Linked DNA regions of Tribolium castaneum. The protein of the gene in region 2 interacts with the protein of the main gene of each other region in a pairwise test. Links are inferred from orthologs where the notes say so. Each region holds a gene or a part of one and is shown on either strand. Other genes may lie near its edges.

Evidence for each region.
Region 1: the proteins of E(z) (region 2) and HDAC1 interact in binary tests that used the Drosophila melanogaster proteins (3 or more experiments, as listed by UniProt). The link is inferred for Tribolium castaneum from reciprocal best matches to the Drosophila melanogaster genes E(z) and HDAC1.
Region 3: the proteins of E(z) (region 2) and Bin1 interact in binary tests that used the Drosophila melanogaster proteins (3 or more experiments, as listed by UniProt). The link is inferred for Tribolium castaneum from reciprocal best matches to the Drosophila melanogaster genes E(z) and Bin1.

What each region holds. Positions count from the first base shown.
Region 1 is NC_087394.1:10,697,913-10,702,387, reverse strand, and holds the start of HDAC1 (histone deacetylase HDAC1), read right to left. Parts: upstream 2,938-4,475; 5' UTR 2,755-2,937; coding exon 2,706-2,754; intron 2,395-2,705; coding exon 2,282-2,394; intron 2,228-2,281; coding exon 1,786-2,227; intron 1-1,785. UniProt on the Drosophila melanogaster protein: Catalyzes the deacetylation of lysine residues on the N-terminal part of the core histones (H2A, H2B, H3 and H4).
Region 2 is NC_087394.1:34,717,651-34,721,830, forward strand, and holds the start of E(z) (histone-lysine N-methyltransferase E(z)), read left to right. Parts: upstream 1-1,380; coding exon 1,381-1,633; intron 1,634-1,680; coding exon 1,681-2,107; intron 2,108-4,123; coding exon 4,124-4,180. Other genes in the region: UDP-N-acetylglucosamine transferase subunit ALG14 homolog, read right to left, coding at 1-346, 401-407. UniProt on the Drosophila melanogaster protein: Polycomb group (PcG) protein. Catalytic subunit of the Esc/E(z) complex, which methylates 'Lys-9' and 'Lys-27' of histone H3, leading to transcriptional repression of the affected target gene.
Region 3 is NC_087397.1:433,584-436,372, reverse strand, and holds Bin1 (histone deacetylase complex subunit SAP18), read right to left. Parts: upstream 1,188-2,789; 5' UTR 1,108-1,187; coding exon 1,048-1,107; intron 1,003-1,047; coding exon 583-1,002; 3' UTR 545-582; downstream 1-544. Other genes in the region: uncharacterized protein LOC662631, read left to right, coding at 1-408; uncharacterized protein LOC662698, read left to right, coding at 1,591-1,707, 1,756-1,963, 2,018-2,194, 2,262-2,418, 2,466-2,789. UniProt on the Drosophila melanogaster protein: Involved in the tethering of the SIN3 complex to core histone proteins. Interacts with bicoid (bcd) to repress transcription of bicoid target genes in the anterior tip of the embryo; a process known as retraction.

The DNA.
Region 1 (4,475 bases), about 24 Mb from region 2:
GCGTAAGCAAAATGGGTTTAAACACAATAGTTAAGTACCTTTCTCTTCAAATAAATACAGAAGAATAAAAATTACAAAATGACTTACATCTTACATTATTCTAAAAAGGCCACAAGAGCGTCAATTTTCATCTAGTTTCATTTATTGACAAAATTGCAACAAATCTTAGTTTCCCACATAAATATGTATGGCGAAAAAGACCAAAGTAATGTCATTCCCTACCTTCATTTGTGATTTTTTTGGCCTGTTATTCTAGCGAATTAATGCGAATTACTATGAGTAAGTGGAAAAAAATCAAAGTGACGTAATATTCGATAACTTTATTGATAATCACTTGCTCTATTTGAGCGAAATTTCAACAGAAAAGTGAGAAGTGTGCTTAAAAGCAAAAATAATATATACCTAATTATAGGTAAAATAATAATTATGTGATATGTTCGGCATTTGTACTTCAAATTTTACAAAAAAAAAACGACCCAATTCTAGAAAAACTGATCAAAATAATTCACATTATTTTCGACCTTTCGCTCAAAATTCACGTCATTTCCGACGTATCAAATAATTTCTCATCTTGTTTTAACAAGTCACCGTAAGCCCACCGAAAGGAACGACAACTATCAAGATCATTCATTGGTCTTCTGACAAAGTTTTGCATATTTAAAATAAAAATCCGGTATTTCAAACGTAATTAAATTATTTTTGGCGTTTTAATGCAGTTTTACGAAAAAAGTAAAATCATCTTACACTTGTTTAATACTTACTTGTTTAATAATAAAAATACCGTAATTTTCTACGTAATAAAGAAATTGTTCAAAGTGTTTAACGAAATCATACAAACAACGAAATCATAATAAAGAAAATGTTCGGAGTGTTTAACGAAGTCATACAAAAGTGGTCATTTCACAGTGAGTTTCTCGCTTAGATTACTAATGATTTTTGGTCCTGTTGTAACCAATTTATGAGAAATAGGTATGTTTTTAATCAAAATGCTGAAGAAAGGCAAAAATGGATATTCGATGTCCACTGATAATCCTTTTTAAACCTATTTAAGCAAAATGTTAAATTGATTGAAACTAATAAATAAAACTAGAACTAAAAATGTCCAAAGAATATATAAATTTCAGAAAATTACCGAGTTATTAAAGCAATTGTGAAAAAAAAAACAAAGAAAATCACTCAAAACAAGAACAAAAAAGCCAAAATAAAATCATTTCCGATCTTCATTTTTGTTTTTTTTTTTTGACAAAAACAAAGGCAAAAGTAATATAAAACTAAGCAAGAAAAGTGAATTTTTACCTTAGAAATGTGTTTAAGTAGGTATTAAAAAAAGCAAACACATTCTTTGCCTTTATTCGATGAGATTTCTTAAAAAAATGCTTTTCATCTATAAAACGACTTTAAGTTAGCTGAATTATTCAGAGTAATACAATTTTCATCCTTTGTTGGAAACTTCTGACCGTATTAGAAGAAAATTTTACAACAAAATATTTAAGTAATTCTCGACATATAAAAAATGTTTCGAACAGTTTGCTTTAATACTTATACACCTCTTTGTATTTTACTAACCGTATTTGCAACGTTTTAAAAACATTTCAATAATGTTTTTCCCCTAGAACAGCACATTTTTCTCAGACAAATAGTGAACCGGTTGAGTTTAAATTAATTTAAATGAAACCAAAACGATGCTATGGAGCACTGATGCTCTGGGGGACTAAATTTTTGGTAAAAACATCGAGTTATTTTGTATCTCGTTTCGCCCCTTTGTCTTATTTTTAGAATACTCACCGTATTTGTGGAACGAGACTGTCATCACCCGGTCAGTGGTGTAAAAAGCCTCTTCGACACCGTCACCGTGGTGCACGTCAATATCGATGTACAACACGCGTTGGTGGTACTTCAACAGCTCCAAAATCCCCAGAACAATATCATTTACGTAGCAAAAGCCCGAAGCTTCGGATTTTTTCGCGTGATGCAAACCCCCGCCCCAATTGATGCAAATTTCGGACGCTTGCTTGTTCAATTTAACAGCTGCCGCCACTGAGCCCCCAGCTGAGAGTTGGCAGAATTCGTACAAACCGTCAAAGACAGGACAGTCCTCCCCTACATTAAACCTCTGCATTTGTTTGTTGTACTCAGACATGTTGTCAGGTCGGATGGATCTGAGAAATCGAATGTAGTCATCCGAGTGAAACTTGGTCATTTCTTCGGCAGTGGCTTTATGGGGGCGCTGGGAAAGTCAAAACTAAATAACACCAACAATTCATGGAAATTAAATACTCACATAAATCTCCATTTTTCTGTACAGACCATAATTGAGCAGCAAATTATGGGTCATCCTTATGCGGTGGGGCTTCATGGGGTGTCCTTGCCCATAATAGTAATTCCCAATATCGCCTAACAATTCAAAATTATCAGAATTGAATCAAAATTCACGATGGACTAATAACATTCGCCATCGTAACACCGTACAAAAAAGCGTCATCATCTCATCATAAACCAAGCTAACCAATCAGCACCGAGCAAAAATACCGCGACCGTAGTCTACCGTGAATTTCCAGGCTTACGGTTTCGAAAATCGTATTTACATGATAGCACGATACGACACAAAATTAAGCAAACGCATGCATTTTGTTGGCAAATTTCAAAAACAAACGCCCCAAAATGGTGGAATAATTCATGTTTGGCTGAAATTGGTGGCTACTTACTGTCGTAATAGTAACAAACACGTTTCCGACTGTGAGGTTGTGTGGCCATCTTGTACTGTAGAAAACTAAATTGTTTTTAATTACTTTGGCTTTAATTATTACAAATCACTGTTCACTTTGTAACAATTTGTTTAAATTATTAGAATTACGGCGGTAGCACAACACGCCGCTTTGCAAATGGCACCGTTGTTCCCGCAGCAAGGACGCCAACCTAGCACCGGTGGCGATTTAGTGTAAAGTTGAATTTCCCTACTAAAAAATAAACAGGGTGATTCTTTTCGTTTTTGCATTGTAATGCCACCATTAAGGCCGTAACAAAGCTTTCTTTTTCATTGTTGGAGTTGATTCTCCTAACTTAAAAAAACTCTCCTTACGTAGCGCCATCTCTTTTCTTTAGAAGAGTCCTTAAGACCATATCCACAGCTTCCTTGATTAACGAAGGGAAAGTCCCTTGACCCTTCATTAATCAAGAAAGCTGTGATTTTCAACCGAAGGGGTCCCAAAAACGTTGAAGACGGTTTTTTACCAATGTTCGAATAATGGAAAATTAAATAATACCTGAATCGTAGAAGATAATTCACCACAACTTTGTTCCTTAGAACTGTTTTTTCTAACTACACCGCTAATAATGCCACATTAACTAATGAACAAAAATCAGCTTTTCATACAAAAATTCTCATGAAAAAGGAAGCCTCTACTGTAAAAAACTTATTTATCGAAGAAAACAACAATTATATGTTATGAAGATTGGTTAGCAGTTTTCAGTAGAGCAAGTTCTAAATTCTTCTTTACACTTAGTTAGAAATAATTAAGGGGTTGCATTCCTAAACATTTTTCCCTTTACATTCGAAACTGAGAAATTCTTATTTCTTGCCTTTAAGTTTTTCAGGTTTTACTAAGATAATTTTACCACAAAAAAACAAAAGTTGTTTGGGCTTAATCTACATTTACTTGACGATATTTTAAAGCAAATACAATGTTTAACTATTAGTTTATCACAGAAACAACGAATATATTTTCAAAACTTTTAGTGAATATATTAAAAAAACAAGACGTGATAGACAAATGTGAGATATATTTTAGTTATTACGTTATTAGTGAGTGAGAAGAAAACAAAATCAGTATAAATTATTTCTTGGTAAAAGAAAAAATTTTTTGTAAACTAGTTTAATTATCATAACTAATCATAGGACCGGTTTATAAAAACGTCATTAATTTAATCAGTTATAAAATGCGTGATTAACTGATTACGTGACCAAATTGAAGTCATTTGGTTGGTTCATTCGCGTTGTTAACTTTTAACAACGAATTCAATTTTAACAGAGCCTTTTATAAACCGGCCCATAAATTTAAAAAAATTAATAATATTTGAGAGTTTAAAGCAGCGAAACCGCTTTAAACACAAATCTAGCTTTTTAGAAAGCAAATTTTTTTAAAATAAGATGAAATGTTGCACATTACGTGGTTTTGCTTTGTGTATTTAAGAATGTTTCTTAATAAAAAAAAATGTTGTTTAAACAGACTCTCATTGTTGGGTTTTCTATAGTTTTTTTGTCAGAAACAAGCATATTAATATTGATATTTTACACGAAATAGTCAAAAAAGGTTCAAATTAGACGTAATTCTTTTCTATTACACATTTTTGTTACCGATTTACTTTCTAAAAAAAGAACAGTTATTAATAGTAGGTTGACCACAATTATGGTGCTGTATATGTGGTTGCATACCAAATTAATTTTTTTTATCAAATTCATTTTTAATTACTTAGTT
Region 2 (4,180 bases):
GTGATGTAGGACTGGCCCACAACTCGACTGCGGGGGATTTCGATAATTTCATAATTGCTGTGATTTTTTGTCTCTTCGAATTTTCTCACTTTGGCGTAACTGGTTGTGTCGGTTTTTGCCATGATGTAATATCTGGGCGAATATTTTGCAAAGTCTAGGCTTGCCATAAGGGTTAGCATTTCAGTGGTGTGCCCCCCTGAACCAATGCAGATGACTGTCCTGCAGGGGGTTACTCTTTTACTGGACGCTTCGCGACTAAAACCAGTCGTTATCTTGTGGACTAGGTACAAAATCCTGGCCAGGATTAAAACGGCGATTAAAATCGCCAATTCAATTTTTAACTGATCTGAAAATTTAAAATTCGATTATAACTGTAAAACACGTTTGATTTTTCGGTTACCTTCCATGTCTCCAGGCTAGCTTCCTGCGATGGTTTCTGAAAAATGGAAAGTTATTGAAACATCAATTAAATAAGAGGACGACATAAAAATCCACAAAAAATCATCACAAAAGTCCCCAAATATATACCAAAATTTGAAAGCCATAAATTACAAAAAATAGCTTTAAAAAACTGCTGTCATAAGACCTTGAGGCAGTCGTTATTTATTCGTGCCTCAAAACTTATGAAAGTGCTTTTTAATATACAGTCGGTACCCTTTATTTTATTTTTTTTCAAATGTAGGTGATTTTTTTATCATTTCTCTTCAATTCCTTTTAATTAAAATATTGAAAATGATTTCAAAACCAACAAAAATAGTATCTGGAGATTCTAATGGCATTCTAAAGGATACGGTGTTTAAATGATGTTCTTTCCAGACAATATAATACTTTAAGAAAATTGTTAATAACCGAAAAAACATTTATTTGTTGTGTAGCTCACATAATAGTAATTAATTAGATACTATAACTTTTTCTCCAGCATCACACTGTACGAATATTTCATGATTTTACTCATAAATGGCAAAGCAAATTCAAATTAAGGTATTCTTAAACCATCACAAAGTCCAAAAATTGAGAATTTTTGAAAATTGAAAAATCAGGTGATCCTTGGCGATTGTTGAGTAGTGTAAATTATTACAATTAAAACACAATAAACCTATCATTTTTATCTTATTTGACTTCACTATCACCTATTACCTAAAATTATGACATCCTGTGGATTGGGCACATCCCTGGGGGGCCGGGGGTTGGGACCTGGGGCACGGCGTTCGCAGGGTTAGATTATCGGCAGAGCATCGGCGCACGCGCCAGTCGATGGTGCCTGTGCTTAGAGGTTATATTTTTGGTTTTTTCTGTGTTTATAGAACTCCTTCCGTTCCAAAATGAATTGACCCTTCCCTCAGTTCGCATTCATTGTTTTCTTTCTTAATTGGCGTGAAAATGTCGAAAGTGAAAGTGAGTAACGAATGGAAGCGTCACGTGAAGCAAGAATACATCCGTTTGAGACAACAAAAGAGGTTCAAAAGAGCGGACGACGTGAAACTAGCATGGAACCAGAACCGGATCAAAATGACCGAAAACCTGATCGCCGAGCAGAAGCGCTGGACTGAGAGCAAAGCCTTCTGGGTGCCCCTGCCCGAGATCCCCTCGCATGTGACTTGCATGAAAAAGGCGGAAGTTATCGGGAATGAAGGTTGTTTGATCCCAGTTGTTGTCTCCAAGATGCTATGTTAGTTTCAGGCGATATACAGGTCACCCCCATTCGGATTATCAACGCGGTGACTCCCATCCCGACCATGTACACGTGGGCCCCCATCCAGCAGAACTTCATGGTGGAGGACGAAACTGTCCTGCATAACATTCCATACATGGGCGATGATTTACTGGACCAGGACGGGACGTTTATCGAAGAACTTATCAAAAATTACGATGGGAAAGTGCACGGGGACCGGGAGTCGGGATTTATCGATGATGAGCTTTTTGTGGAGCTGGTGCACGCGTTGATGCAATACCAGGACAGCGACAAAGGGGAGAAAAAAGACAAGGACAAGGAAAAGACCAAAGAAGAGGAAAAGAAAAAGGGGCTCGATTTTCCAGCTTTTATTATATTCCAAGCGATTTCGTCGCAGTTTCCCGATAAGGGGGACCCAGAGGAGTTGAGGGAAAAGTACGATGTTTTATTATATTTTTTACAGGCTTTTCCAGCGAGTTGGTAATATTCATTTTACATTATACGTGTATATAATTTCACAGCGTGAAGTTTTAATTTTGAAACTCGAGCTTTAACGAAACTGGACGCTGTATAATATCTAACGCACAAACAATTTGGTCATTTTTCGATCAATTCACATTTCGAGCAGAAAAAAAAGTGTTTACTTTTTAATCTTCTCACAGCATTAATGAGTTCATTTATCATAAAATATTGTTCTGAGGTCTCTGAAAAATTTTCATGTTATTTTACCGCACTGTATGCTTGAACAAAATAAATAAAAAAGTGTAAAGAAGTCCAACAAAAAAATTTTGAATAACACTCATACGAAAACGCTTAAAGTTAAAGTATTTAGGTAAGTAACTCGCATCTGCTCGTTGCATAACGACAGCTACTCTTGTGTTTTCGCACTCATATTATTAATAACTTATATTAAATAATGTCAAAATAATTGTCCAGACAGTAGGCTATGTTTATCGGTAAGCTACGATACAAATATGCTTTTTTTTAATGAAACACTCGGCTTTTGGCATTTGGAAGTAACGTTTAATATTAATGTTTTTAAGGGTAAACTTTTATTGTTGTGCTTGTTTTTTTGACGAAAACACATTTAACAAAATAATTATATCAAATCCAAGAATACGATTAAAAAAAATCAGTTGAGTCAGATTAGAGGAGAAAGAAAAAAACTTTGATGTTTTGACATTTTTTTGAAAAGTTCCAGTCAAGAAGTTTTTTATTTTTTACTTTTGCATGTTAAAGTTTTTTAAGTTCCCTTTAAAACCACAATCATTTAAGTGCGTCTTAATAATTACAAAGAAGATATAACTTTAAACAAAAAATTGTATTATTAATTTGTAAAATAGTTAAATTGAACTACAACCGCAAAGAAAAAGGGCAAGAGGAGTCTAACTTTTTTTTAGAAGAACCAAAGGATTATGTAATAGAATAATTTATTTGACTGTTTCGAGAAATGTCTTGAAAAATACATGTTTTTTACCGTTTTTCTTTAAAACATTAAAATGTTACTTAAGTTTTCTCTGAAATAAAGTCGAATTGTCAATAATAATTGTCAACGTTTGAAAATTAACTATAATTTTTTTCGAAGCTCTAATCTATGCACGAACACAAATTTACAAATAGTTTACGCTTATTTCAGTACACAATATCATAGCCTAGTTTTTTGTTAATTTAAATAAATTCAAATTTAAACGATTTAATTATAAAATAAAAAAATAAAAGGTAACAGATAAACGGAGTGTTAAACGTCCTTTGAATGCTTTATCCCTGGTTGAAAAAATAACTGATGGAGAACTTATAATGAAACGATTGTTACACAACGTTTCGTCCACTATACCACATACATCATCAGGCTAGAAATAATACATTTGTATAAAAAATGGAAAAAAAATATTGTGCGACCTTCTTTGCGTGTGTTGAATCTACTATCTTTTTTAAATTCCATAATGTCATTTTTTTCCATTTGATGATGTCTGTGGTATAATAGACGCAACGTTGTGTAACAATCATTGTTTCATTAAAGTTTTCCACCAGTTATTTTTTCAATCTACATTTGAAATTTTGTTTTTAGAAAAACACAAAATAACACACAAATAACAAACGTTTTCACTTTTTTATGTTCTTAATTGCAGTGCGTTAACGAACTACTACAGTTTTAAACTTGAAAATTTCCCTTTGCAGTGGTGGAAACTGTGGCACTCTTAGTTTTTGTGTATTTCATTAAAAAAATTGTTTCCGTCAAATAAAATAACTACTGTAAAATAGCAGAATCAACAAAAAAAATCAACAAAATCATCAGTACTTATTGATAACTACGTTAAAAATACAATAAAATATAGGGTGATTAATACTTTTACACTTGAAAATAATTTGATTTATTACTTTTTTTATGGTACTTTACCAACTTCGCTGGGTGGGACCCTGATTATTTTTTCCCTAACTTGCCTGGTTTAGGTACATTGAACTGACCGAACGGACCGACCCCAACGCGCCCCCTGAATGCACCCCAAA
Region 3 (2,789 bases), on a different chromosome or scaffold from region 2:
GTGCGCCAGCACGTTCCAACACCGCCGCCCCCGCCCCCAGTGCGTCAGCCCACCCGCGGGCACCACCCCGCCCGCCAACCCTCGCAATACCTCGACGAAGACGGCGTCCGTCAAAGAACCCGTAAACCCCCAGTACAAATTTTGCGCAAATACCGAACTGATAATCCCGATGGTAGCATAACCTGGGGCTACGAGAATGAAGATGGTACGTTTAAGGAAGAAACGTTGGGGATTGATTGTGTAACACGGGGGAAGTACGGTTACGTCGACCCTGATGGTGTCCGCAGGGAATACACGTACGAAACGGGGAACAAATGCGATGAACCGGAAGAAGACGAAGATTTACCGCCCGAAAGACAACAAATTCAGACACAGCCCAGGAAGCCCCAATTCAGGCCTGGACCTTAGGTTTAGTGTTAAATTAAATGCCATTATTTGTTAAAAATAATAAATTAGGAATTATATATAACTGGTTGCCTGACCATGTTTGGTTACTACGGGTTACCACTATCAACAACACAAAAGGAAAAATAAAAATGCCAAATAAAGTTTTATGAGTTTTATTTATAAAAATTAACTACACTAGTAGGGCCTTTGCCGATGGTTATTGTAGTTCTGAGCATAACCCTTGCGGCCCCCTGTGTTCCAGGAATCGGCCGGCGTGATGGCAATATCCATAAAATCCCCAATTGCAAATCTAGCTTGACTTAGCGTTTTCAAGTCATCAGGTCCCTTAATCCCTGTAGTTGTGCTCCCTATTTCCCTCATTCGATAAATCGGGACTCTCATATCGGGAAAAACGAGCGAAAAACTAAACTTTGTCCCTTTTCTCCGTGCCTCTGGATTCACTTCTTTGACAAGTTGGGTTAACTCATGTAAAGTTGCGTCTTTCCATGTGTAGATTTGGAGCTCGTTCTGGGGCGTATTACCTTTATTATAGTCGGTGGGTTTGTGGTGGTAACCGTTCGACGAGACAAAAACGCGTAAAAGAAACGGACAGACCTGGAAACTTAGTTGGGAAAAAAAGTCAAGTTGGGGGTGTTGTACCTTTTGGCGATCCACTGCATCGTCTTTCTTTTCCTCGATTACGACATCCACGGATGCCATAGTATGGTTTTTGATTAATAAATAAACAGTTTTTGTCACTTGTAAAAAATAAGGTTAACACTTGTTTACAGTTGACAGAGGGCGCTTGAACCCACGCCCTACTCCCATTATTGCGTTTCTTTTTCTAGCACATTGTATCGTCCAACCACCCATCTTTGTCTCGCGTCTGGTGATAGGTCGAGAGAATCGGATGACTTTATTGACGTTCACATAACCTATTCAAAAGTTATGTCAGGACAGAGATTCCGGTAGTACCAGGTGAGTCATTTTTGCCCTTTATACAATTATTTTCGCGTAATTACAATTATGATCAGTTGTTGTTTTGATGAACTGTAATTTCAAAACGCATTGTAAGCATATTTTTGAATTAGCATACCTATCTACAAGTCCAACGTTTGAAAACAATAAAAAAGATAAAACTCATCATTCGCACTTTGATTGTTATTTCATTCAGTTCACTAGTGTTCCAGTTCCAAAAAAAAAATGGCCCAAACGGACCCTAATGTAATCGTAGGCCCAGAAGTTGAGCGCTTCATTGAAGGTTCCTTAGGTGAATTATTGCTACTTTTACTGAAAACACACTGTGATAATGTCTTACAAGTAAGTAAGTAATTATTTTTACCACCCTTGTGGCAAAAAAACGTATAGGTTGATGCCGCAACTGACGAAGAATTGCCAGCTAATTTATTACTAAGTCGTTCGATTCAACTCGCAAAATGGTTACGCAGTATTGGGGTTAAAGAAGGAGATTCGATTTCGGTAAATAGCGAAAATCGGTTAGAATTCGCCGTTGTGACAGTGGCCACGTTTTTCGTTGGCGCTGTTTTTGCCCCTTTAAACCCTGAATATACTCCAGGTGAATGCTCTTGAACTTTGGTAATAAAATAATTGATAAGTTTATCGCTTTCAGGCGAATTAAACCACGTTCTCCAACTTTCAAAACCCAAAGTCATTTTTTGTTCGCCTCAAACGATTCAAACTATGACTAAAGTTTTCGCCGATCATCCAAATCTCACACATTTGGTGCTTTTTGGGGCGCAGAAACGTAACGAGAGTTACGTTATAATGCATGAGGATATTATCAGAGGTAATTTTGAGGCACAAGCCGAAGGCGAGTGTCGTAACATATATAGTAAAAATGCATTGATATTTAGGCGCCACCGGTGACAACATTGACGAAAGTTTTGAAGCCACACCAGTGGACCCCAAAGACGCCATTGCCACGATTTTAATGTCGTCAGGGACCACTGGTTTGCCAAAGGGTGTGATGTGCACCCATGAAAGCATGACCACCTATGTTGACATAATGAGGTGATTTTTTAGTCATTTTTTCAATTGTTATATTGGACTGTCATTAGGGTTACCATGGCACAAATAATCGAAAATGACGATCCCAGCGACGCCATGATGGGTCTCGCCCCATTTTTCCACTCAATGGGTTTCATGTTAATGTTTTTGAATTTGTTACGCGGCAAAAAAATGGTTGTTTTGAGTCGTTTCAAAACCAAAATTTTCCTAGACGCTATCATAAAGTACAAAATTTCGCGACTTGTTGTACCACCACCTGTCATGTTGGTGCTCCTGAAACACCCACTTACTAAACAATACGACCTGTCTGGAATTAAGGAAATTCGGACAGGAGCTGCCCCCATGGGGAAAGACATGGAACGTGAATTAAAAAA